Sus scrofa: one gene and its partners. The protein of the gene in region 3 binds, or shares a complex with, the protein of the main gene of each other region. Links are inferred from orthologs where the notes say so. Each region holds a gene or a part of one and is shown on either strand. Other genes may lie near its edges. The genes, in order: MED18, MED12 and MED4.

The links.
Region 1: MED4 (region 3) and MED18 share a complex: the UniProt entries of both Homo sapiens proteins name them as parts of the mediator complex. The link is inferred for Sus scrofa from reciprocal best matches to the Homo sapiens genes MED4 and MED18.
Region 2: MED4 (region 3) and MED12 share a complex: the UniProt entries of both Homo sapiens proteins name them as parts of the mediator complex. The link is inferred for Sus scrofa from reciprocal best matches to the Homo sapiens genes MED4 and MED12.

The regions. Positions count from the first base shown.
Region 1 is NC_010448.4:85,382,810-85,386,564, reverse strand, and holds the start of MED18 (mediator of RNA polymerase II transcription subunit 18), read right to left. Parts: upstream 2,481-3,755; 5' UTR 2,280-2,480; intron 1,719-2,279; 5' UTR 1,650-1,718; coding exon 1,577-1,649; intron 1-1,576. UniProt on the Homo sapiens protein: Component of the Mediator complex, a coactivator involved in the regulated transcription of nearly all RNA polymerase II-dependent genes.
Region 2 is NC_010461.5:57,153,770-57,157,424, reverse strand, and holds part of MED12 (mediator of RNA polymerase II transcription subunit 12), read right to left. Parts: intron 3,612-3,655; coding exon 3,357-3,611; intron 2,992-3,356; coding exon 2,845-2,991; intron 2,687-2,844; coding exon 2,587-2,686; intron 2,462-2,586; coding exon 2,325-2,461; intron 2,104-2,324; coding exon 1,972-2,103; intron 1,388-1,971; coding exon 1,261-1,387; intron 807-1,260; coding exon 577-806; intron 1-576. UniProt on the Homo sapiens protein: Component of the Mediator complex, a coactivator involved in the regulated transcription of nearly all RNA polymerase II-dependent genes.
Region 3 is NC_010453.5:19,564,497-19,567,430, reverse strand, and holds the end of MED4 (mediator of RNA polymerase II transcription subunit 4), read right to left. Parts: intron 1,180-2,934; coding exon 1,007-1,179; 3' UTR 516-1,006; downstream 1-515. UniProt on the Homo sapiens protein: Component of the Mediator complex, a coactivator involved in the regulated transcription of nearly all RNA polymerase II-dependent genes.

The DNA of each region.
Region 1 (3,755 bases), on a different chromosome or scaffold from region 3:
CCCCAAAAAAAGATGTTGAACTATTGTGTGAGAAGAGACAGATGATCAAAAGTGGAAGCAATGCAATAAGCACAAAATTACTAAAATAGTTCAAAGGATGATAAACCAAGCCATTGCATGTGGAGAAAAGACATATTTAATATATATTTTGGAAGTAAAATAAACAGAACTAGAGATAAGCTATAGGTGAGAATAAAGTGAAAAAATGGAGATTGATTCCTGAATTCATAGCTTGAGCAACTGGTGAATGACAGGCACTTACTAAGATGGAAAAGACTGAAGGAGGGACAGCTGGAAGAATGAAAGTTAATAACCCTACTTCGTTCATATTAAGTTTTTTTTTTTTTTTTGTCTTTTCTAGGGCCTCTCCCCAGCATATGGAAGTTCCCAGGCTAGGGGTCTAATCTAGGAGCTGTAGCCGCCGGCCTACGCCAGAGCCACAGCAACGGTGGGATCCAAGCCGTGTCTGCAACCTACACCACAGCTCATGGTGACGCCAGATCCTTAACCCGCTGAGCAAGGCCAGGGATCGAACCTGCAACCTCATGGTTCCTAGTCGGATTCATTAACCACTGCACCATGACGGGAACTTCCATATTAAGTTCTTAAATGGATAATTCAAAGTCTAAACTTTTTTGCGAAACATTATAAGGCCTCCTGAAAATCATTACACTGAGTTTTGAGCTTTCTCATCTGGGCAAGTTACTTCAATTCTATTTCCTGATCTACAAGAATTAATAATAGTATCATAAAATTATCATATGATCCATTAATTTCACTTCTGGATATTTAACCAAAAGAATTCAAAGCAGGATCTTGGAAGAGATATTTGCATACACATGTTCACTGCATTATCCATGTTAACCAAGAGGTGGAAGCAACCTGAATGTCCAACAACAGAAGAACAGATAAAGAAAATGTGGTATATACATACTATAGAACATTATTCAGCCTTTAGAAAGGAGATCCTGTCTCGTGTGATAACACGGGTAAACGCTGAGGACATTATACTAAGTGAAATAAACCAGTCATAAAAAGACAGATACCATATGATTCCACTCATATAAAGTTATCTAACGTAGTCAAAATTAGAAACAGAAAGTAGAAAGGTTTGGAATTCTCCTGTGGTGCAGTGGGTTACTCATCCTGTGTTGTCATTGTAGCTGCCAGAGCTGCTCCTGTGGTGTGGGTTCGATCCCTGGCCTGGGAACTTCTATATGCCGTAGGTTCAGCAGAAAAGAAAATAAAAAAAGAAAAAAAAAAAAAGAAAGTAGAAAAGTTGTTGCCAAGGGCTGGGGGGAGGGGAAAGGAAGAATGAGTACAGAGTTTCAGTTTTGCAAGATGAAAAAGTTCTAGAGATTGGCTATACAACAATGCAAACATATTTAACACTACTAAATGTTATGCTCAAAATGTTTAATGCTATATGTTTGTGACCATAATTAAAGCCAAATTGAAAAAAAAAAAAAAAAGAGGTGCCAGAAATTATGTAGCCTTTGTATATTAGCCTTTCATCTCCATGGAACCTGAACAGAAAAGAGGAAATCAGGTAATCTAAGCTCCCTAGTTCACTTACCCTGCAGCAGGTACTCCATCATGTTAATGGTGCCCCCGGTGACAGGCATCATAGTGACTGGAGGTGCCTCCATGCTATCTGTTTAAGTTGAAAGCAACAGAACCGGATTCAGAGTCCCAGTCAAATAAAGCACAGGACACACCTGGAAAAGAGTTATGCTTGTTAATACATCAGAGAGATGGAGAGACACCAGATCTACCTGGGTCATTAGCCTTAACATCAAAAGATTCATTCATTCATCCAGAACTTTTTGAACAACTTCCATAAGTCAGTTTCAGGAATTGATGATACAGAAATACACAAAGGAGGCCTGATCATGGAGTTATAATCTTTCAGTCTCAAGGTCTGAAACCTTCAGTTTCAGAATTTCCTGTGCAATAAGCCATCAAACCGCTGACCCTGGGATTCAATGTCTTCCTTATAAAATGAGGTCGACATTTAACCCCCAAGGCTTTGTGGCTCAGATGACACAATAGCCGTGAAATAATAGAACTGAGAGGTGACTCCCCTTCAATTTGGAGATGAGGATACTGACACTTTGGGTGGGGGTTGGAGGGAAGGATACAGAGCAAGTCCATGGCAGAGATAAACCAGACAAAAATCTAGGCGTTCAAAACGCCTTTGAAAGCGAGCCAGACAGAAGTGCGAAGTTCTTCTGACGATTGAGGTCCTCCTACCCCACCATCGACGCGTGCCTACTCACACCAAAAACACACCTCCGCGCGTGTTCTAGCCTTTTCTGGCAAAGCAGGGAACTGAAGCCACCAGAGCACCTCGGAGCTTTTTAGCGATAATTAGCCCCCAGCACTGAACTTGAAGACCCCCACCCCCCGGTGGAGTGCAACACTTTCTCCCCTCCACTTCCGGCAAAAAGTCTCCGTCGCGCAAATCTTGACATCACCATTCTGCGACGTAAGGGTGCCGGGAAGGCATAAAAATCATCTCTGCGGCCTGGCAAGTAGAAGCGCATGCGCAAACTGCGATTCTGCGTGGAAGAGGGCGGCCTTCCTGAGCGCGTTCCTCGGGGCGTGAGGGGGACCTTGACATCAAAGGCAGTCCTCCCGGAAAATATTTTCCTTTTTTCAAGTGTGACGGCCTGGAGTTGTTTTTGTCAAGGAATTCTTTTGGAACTTACAGGGGGAAAAGAGAGCCGGGGGAAGAGAGCTGAAGAAAAAAAGAGATCATAAAACCAAAACTTCTTTTGGTTGAGTACCTGAAGATAAGAAGGAAAGACATCTTTTACTGTTTAGCAGACTGTTCTGAACAATTAGGGAACTCAGCAATACATTTGATATTTGTTCACTCTTCTGTGTTTATTTTACCTCAATTCAAAAATTTTGGGAGATAAGTAAATTCAGCTCATTTATTGAATGTTGCTTGTGTGTCAAGCATGTAAAATGCAAAGAATGGAGCTAGAGTATGGTGGTTGAGGCACTCCCTGGAGCGAAAAATTTAAGGGGCACCAAAACTCCTAACAATTCAAAAAATTGTAATGCAATCTTTTACGAATTTAATGTGGAAAAAAAATCCTTAATGAACAAAATATTGGAATTTTTGATCTTCACAGCAGCCCTGTAACCCAAGTATAATTATTACTTAATTTTACTAATGGAGAAACTTAGGCATCAAGAAATAACACACCAGGGAGTTTAGACTGGGGTACAAATTTAAGCAGCTGCCTGATTTCAGAACCCACCCTCTTAATTGCTACACATCTTTTTTTTTTTTTTCTTTTTAGGGCTGCACCCTGGCATATGAAAGTTCCCAGGTTAGGGGTTGAATCAGAGCTTCAGGTGCTGACCTATGCCACAGCCACAGCAATGTGCGATCTGAGCCGCATCTGTGACCTACACCACAGCTCATGGCAATCCTGGACCCCCAACTCACCGAGCAAGGCATATAGAAGTTCCCAGGCCAGGGTTGAATCGGAGCTGTAGCCCCTGGCCTACGCTACAGCCACAGCTGTGCCAGATCGAAGCCAAGTCTGCAACTACACCACAGTTCATGGCAATGTTGGATCCTTAACTCACTGACTGGGGCTGGGGATGGAACCTGCATCCTCATGGGTACTAGTTAGATTCATTTCTGCTGAGCCATGATGGGAACTCCTATACAGTCATTTATAATTCCAGTTTCCCCTGCTGTAATTTATACTGTCTTACTCATTTACATTTTTAAA
Region 2 (3,655 bases), on a different chromosome or scaffold from region 3:
AGCCCCCATAGGCCTTGGTTTCATTTAGCGTTATTTTACTTTTTTTATTTTATGATTTTTATTTTTTCCATTACAGTTGATTTACTCATTCAGCTTTAAAATGAGAATAACAGGAGTTCCCGTTGTAGCTCAGCAGTAACAAACCCAGCTAGTATCCATAAGGATGCAGGTTCGATCCCTGGCCTTGCTTGGTGGGTTAAGGATCCAGTGTTGCCATGAGCTGTGGTGTAGGTCACAGACGCAGCTTGGATCCCGTGGTGCTGTGGCTGTGGCCTAGGCCAGCAGCTGTAGCTCTGATTTGACCCCTAGCCTGGGAACCTCCGTATGCTTTGGGTGTGGCCCTAAAAAAAAAAAAGACAAAAAAATGATAACAATACCTCAACGAGGCAGTTGTGAGGATCAAATAATAATAATAATAATAATAAAATGATGTGAGAGTGCTTGGTAAATAAACTATGAAGCGCTAAGCAAATCCTACCCTCATCACTGGGTAAAGGATCCTCAGATTACTTCAGGAGCCAGGAAGAGGGGACTGTACAGGAAGAAACAATCTAGGGTGAGGAAAAGCCAGCTCACCTCCAGCTTGCTGCTGCTGCTGCCCTCAGCCTCCTTGCGCTCAGGGTCATCAGCAGGGTCATCAAAGGGAGAGGGAGGCCGGGGACCAGGGGCTCCAAAGGCAAGGTCCCCTCGGGAGATGAGGGTGCAAGTGTACATGTTGTGGGAGAAAACATCGTGTCGAATCAGTTCACAGAAGAGCAGTACCAAGTTAAAGAATTCCACCCGCTCACTCTCACTTCGGGGGTCCGCTGGAGGGAGGGAATGAGAAAAGATGAGTAAGGGAGCATGGAAGACATGGGCAGAAAGCGAGAGGGACACATCTAAGGTAAGATGCTCCTAGGGTACCTGAAATAGGCAGGAATAGGAATGACTCAAAACCCCCCAACGCCCCCCAAACTGTTGAGGGACAAAGTATGCTTGGTTATCCTACCTCCTGCCCCCCCATCTAATAAAGGAACACAGCATTTCTGCTATTTATACATGAAAACGCTCCGATCCTAAGCACTTGTTTTTATTCTACTCTTTATTTCTCTACTCTGTTAAACTGTAAGATGATCAAAGACTAGAATTATGTCCAAAGACATTCTGCATAGAGCTCAAGCTAAGATTATATCTCAGAAGGCCTTTCATTATGCTTTCTGATGACAGGGGTGGGTAAGGGAGTCTAGGCAGAGGTAACCAGAAAGTAGCAGGGGTCCATACTCAGCATGGGAGCCTGTGTGTCCAGAAACTGCAGGAGGACATCCTGGAAAATGGGAGCACTGGGTGCAGAAAGGGAGCCAGAGGCAATGGAACCCTTCTCATCTGCGGCTTCTGATTCTCCACAACGCTATAAAATGAGAGGACAAACCATAGGGCTGGGTTTTATCTGTTTCTTCACTCATCCACGTACAATCCTTGAACAACTGCCTATCTCCACGTCCCCCTGTTGACTCCCATTTTCTTTTCTTTCTTTGTTTTTAGTCTTTTTAGGGCTACACCTGTGGCATATGGAGGTTTCCAGGCTAGGCATCTAATCGGAGCTGTAGCCGCCAGCCCACACCACAGCCACAGCAACGCAGGATCCAAGCCGTGTCTGTGACCCACACCACAGCTCACGGCAACGCCAGATTCTTAACCCACTGAGTGAGGCCAGGGATGGAACCCAAGTCCTCATGGACACGAGTCGGGTGCCTTAGCACTGAGCCACGATGAGAACTCCTTGACTCCTATTTTCTTTAGCGCCTCCAACTGCAGCCTTGATCACTTCTCTAACTCTGACACTGATCCACTCATTTCTATTTTTGCCTCATGTCCTCCACTTTCCCTGTACGTTCTCTAACCACTTCTTACTCTCACACCTTCAACATTGGTCCCACTATCAGCTCAATCTGGCTCCAGGCCCAGCTGCCACTCCCTGCCGGGCCCCCTAACCTCAGCCTCGATCTCTGCCTGTCTCTTCTCCAGCAGCTTGGCTACCACCATAGCGCGATGCCGACCAGAACGCTTGCAGCTGACAGCCCATTCACACAGTAATGATACCACAGCATCATCATCTGAGGAGATCTGGAGACCAAAGGAAGACGGAGGTGAGTAAGGCAGAGTTGGGGACAAAAAACTGAGTTCCAATTTCCCAGCGATTGGGCCCCATCTTAAAACATTCTAGGCCCAGTAAGACCATCTGTCTCTTCAGACATCCTCTAGTTTTAGTGCCTCACCCCTCCTTCCCGTCAAATGTACTGGTGCTCTTGCTGTTTTTCCCTCCTCTTCCCCGTCTTGCTTATTACCTCGTGTCCATCCTTGCTGGGCCCCAATCCAAAAATTCGGTTACAGAGGGAGTCAAGAGAGTTGCTGAAGTCAGAGCGCTCAAAACTATGGCTGTCCAGCACTTCCAAAGTATGGAGCACCCGTCCAATGGTGAAGCCTAAAGAGGAAAAGCGGTAAAGGGGACTTAACCAGAGGCTTACTCTGACTCTCAGATCTATATGTCATTACCATCCCCACCCTTTCCTCAAACACCCTTCTTACTGCCTGTCCTCTGGCACCCACCTGCAGTAGCTTCCTGGCACTTATCAAAAGACCAGCGAACCTCAACGGCCTGTCCTCGCTCCTTGATCTGCTGCTCGATCTCCCGCAACTTTGCACGGACCTGCCAAAAGGAAGGTTTTAAGGATGGAGCAAAGCATACAAAAAGGCTAGGGCTCCAGGCTAAAAGCATAGTAGTAGGCTCCAAGTCACTAGTTCTGAAAGAGTAACTTCAGCCTCTATATCCAAACCTGCGGTAAGCAGGCTACTGGTCCAACTTACCTGCTGAGTGAAGGCACTGTTGCCCTCTGGCATGGGCAGGTTGGAGGGGGCAATAGGCAGGTGATCGAGTGGTGAGCCAGTCTTGATTCGGCTATCAGTCAGCGAGTAGTGCCAAACCAGGGCACTAGGACAACACAGGAGGATGGTCTGCCAGACAGGAACAGCTAAGTCAAACTCGGTTACCATGGCTACCTTTCCAGAAGCCCATCATAAGACCCAATGCTTCGATTTCCAATCCAAAGTTATTCTGAGTCCCTAGGGTGGCATCACTCCATCTCTGAGCCCCTCCCCTCATCCACTCTCCTCCAAAGGCTTTGGGCCTACTATGTAGACCTGGAAGGGAACTACCTGAAAAGGAACTATCGCCCCATGAATGAGCAGCCAACAATTTCCAAGCAAGTACTCAGTGCCTACTCTCACCTCCAATTTAGAATCCCCCTATTTTCCAGGACAGGCACCTAATTCTTCTCAAGAGGTCTCTTAATACTTCCATAGGCCCACCGAGTACCTACCTGAAGGATACAGCTGAGGCCAAAAACCAGGGGTCGGTGCTGAGGACACATAAGCAGGTCACTAAAGGGTGTAGAGGGTGTGCTGCTAGTTGGGGGCTGAGGAGCAGGGGTGGTGGGTAGTGTGCTTGTTGACTGAGCAGACATCACATGAGACGAGTGACTGCTCACACCATCCAGCTGCAGGGCCAGTCTCCGGGTACAGAAGTAGGCAAGGCGGCGGGAGAGGTATGCAGACTGAACAAATTCCCCGGAGTACTGTGAAGACATGACGATCAAAACCCCCCAGTTCTTTCCAAGAG
Region 3 (2,934 bases):
CCTGGGAACTTCCCTATGCCAGAGCAGACAGGAAAAAAAAATAATGTGTATGTGAAATATACCTGAATATGAAAGTTAAATGTGCTTAATTTATAAGATGACTCTTCATTATATAACATACGATATATATATCTCCTGTTAACTTTCCAGAGTTTTTTTTTTTTTTTGCTTTTTAGGGCTGCATGTGGAAGTTCCCAGCTATGGGTCTAATCAGAGCTGTAGCCATTGGCCTATACCACAGCAATGTCAGATCTGAGCTGCAACTGCAACCTACACCACAACTCACAACACCACCAGATGCTTAACCCACTGAATGAAGCCAGGGATCAAACCCGCAACTTCATAGTTCCTAGTTAGATTCCTTTCCACTGAGCCACAACAGGAACTCCCAGAGTATTTTTTAAAACCCAAATTCTAGGAAACATTGAGACCCAAGGGTTTTGGATGAGTGGTTATAAAGATGTACAGATAACCAGGTAAGCATGTACACAACAATTTGATTTGAGATACAGTGGTAAAATTCCAAACAAGTGTATTTATTTACAAAAAATACAGTAATTACAAACAGTACAAATTGAGGCAAGTTCTCCTGTGACAAAAGCTAACAGCCTTCACTTTCAAATGAGTTTTCTGTTACTCTGAGCTATGTTGCATTTTCAGCGATCTACTGCCTTTTGTTTACGCTTTTCATAATAACAAGAGGTCTATTAGTGATGTACATGGGTCATGTCCCTCAAATCTTATTTCCAGAACTACTATGTACAACTCCAACTAAGATGGCACTGAACTGACTAATCTTTTTATTCCAACGGTAAATTTTGTTTTTCTCTATTCCCCTAGTGGTTCAGAAACGAAACCATGATTTTTGGCTTCAAAAAGTCCACAATAATTTTTAACGATGGCACACTTTCACTACAGTATCACCTGGCTTTTAAAGGTTTGCTGCTGTTTAAGAAGCCGATTTCTATAATATTCAATTCTGTATGCTTTTTTTGTCACATTTTCTTTAATCAGAGTCACTGCTACTGCTTGAGGAGTCTGTTGACATGACCTCTACGTCATCTTCATTTTCTTTATTGTGCCCTGGAGGCTCCAACAAAAAGTCATTACTGTGATTTGGTGGTAACATATTCATTGCCATATCATTTGACTGCCACGGATACTGGGGGGCAAGAACATCTGAAGAAAAGAAAGCCCATGTGAGAACATTTCAACTCAATTTACTTCTTAGTTACTCTTTCCTTCATGCAAATAAAATGAAGTAAATTTTTAAGGCTGAAGTCTAAATACACATTTGACCAAATTAATGAAAGATCAAATATATCAAGGAAAAATGTGATGTTTTAGTAACCACAATCTGTTTATTTTTTTTTAAATCACACTTTACTATAGCCACTATTCATAGTCAACTGCCATTAATTTTCCTTTTACAAGACATTCACAATTTCCAAATATTTCATATGTCTGTATATATTTAAGCACATATAATAGGTCATATATACTACTCTCCATATATTCCCTCGTGATATAAACAGCTAATATATGTACTATACTAAAAAAGGGGCCCTGTATCTATTATTACTGCATTTGAAAAATACAGTTCTTGGAGTTCCCGTCATGGCCCAGAGAAAACGAATCTGACTAGTATCCATGAGGATACAGGTTCAATCCCTGGCCTCACTCAGTGGGTTAAGGATTCAGTGTTGCTGTGAGCTGTGGTGTAGGTCGCAGACTCAGCTCAGATCTGGTACGGCTGTGGTATAGGCCAGCAGCTACAGCTCAGATTCAACCCCTAGCCTGGGAACCTCCATATGCTGCTAAATGCTCCAAATGCAGCCCTAAAAACAGACCAAAAAAATACAGTTCTCTTTACCATCCAGTAGTTAGTGTATTGTTACTAGTCAGTAATTCTTTAAATTCTCCTTGTTCATATTGCTAGTGTGGTTTCTGCCTCCTGCCTGGATTGTGAGTGGCTTATGTCATATGATACGGTATAGTCACAATGAAAAATGTGATTCCAAGGGAAACTAATGCCCAATGAGTTCTCAGTTTACACCTTGAATAATTAACAAAAATGGTGCTTATAAAAAGCATTTTTAGTAACAGAGGGACAGCCTTACAATGAAATGTCATGCATTATCTAGAGCATTTATAACAACGTTAAAAATACAGGGGGGAGTTCCCGTCATGGCACAGTGGAAACGAATCCAACTAGGAACCATGAGGTTGCTTGTTCGTTCCCTGGCCTTGCTCAGCAGGTTAAGGATCTGGCATTGCCATAAGCTGTGGTGTAGGTCACAGACACAGCTCAGATCTGTGCGTGTGGACCAGCCGCTAGACCCCTGGGAAACTCCATATGCCACAGGTGTGGCCCTAAAAGAAATAACAAACAAAAAACGGGAATAAACGAAATATGTAAAATACTAAAAGTAATTGCTCAAAAAAGCAATTTTTTCATGGTTTTAAAAAAAACTTTAAAAATATTCTGCCAGGTCAAAAATAAAACAAGTCGCCAAAAAAAAAAAGAAAGATAGGGAACGTAAAATATAACAACAGTACAAACCTGTATGTGAAGCCTGAGGAAGGGTGAAGCTCAGTATGAGTCTCACAAAAATGACATTCTATTTAGTTACAAAAAAGTCCATAAAAAGCTTTGTTATTCACTTTGTTAATTTGAGGGTTATTCATAAGAGTGTTCACTTGGTATTCTTTAAACTGAACATACATCTTACTCTGTTTATAAAGCATGTTTCATTTTAAAAAGCTAAGTTTAGGGCTTAGTTACTGAGAAGTCTAATGCCGGAGGAAAATGACACATTAATAAATGAGAAAAAAATTCAGTTTCTTCTAACTTCATAATAACCTCCATTTTGAACAATCTTTAAGCTGTTAGAAAGTAGAGAGCAGTTGGAGAACCTAGCTACTAAAATGAGC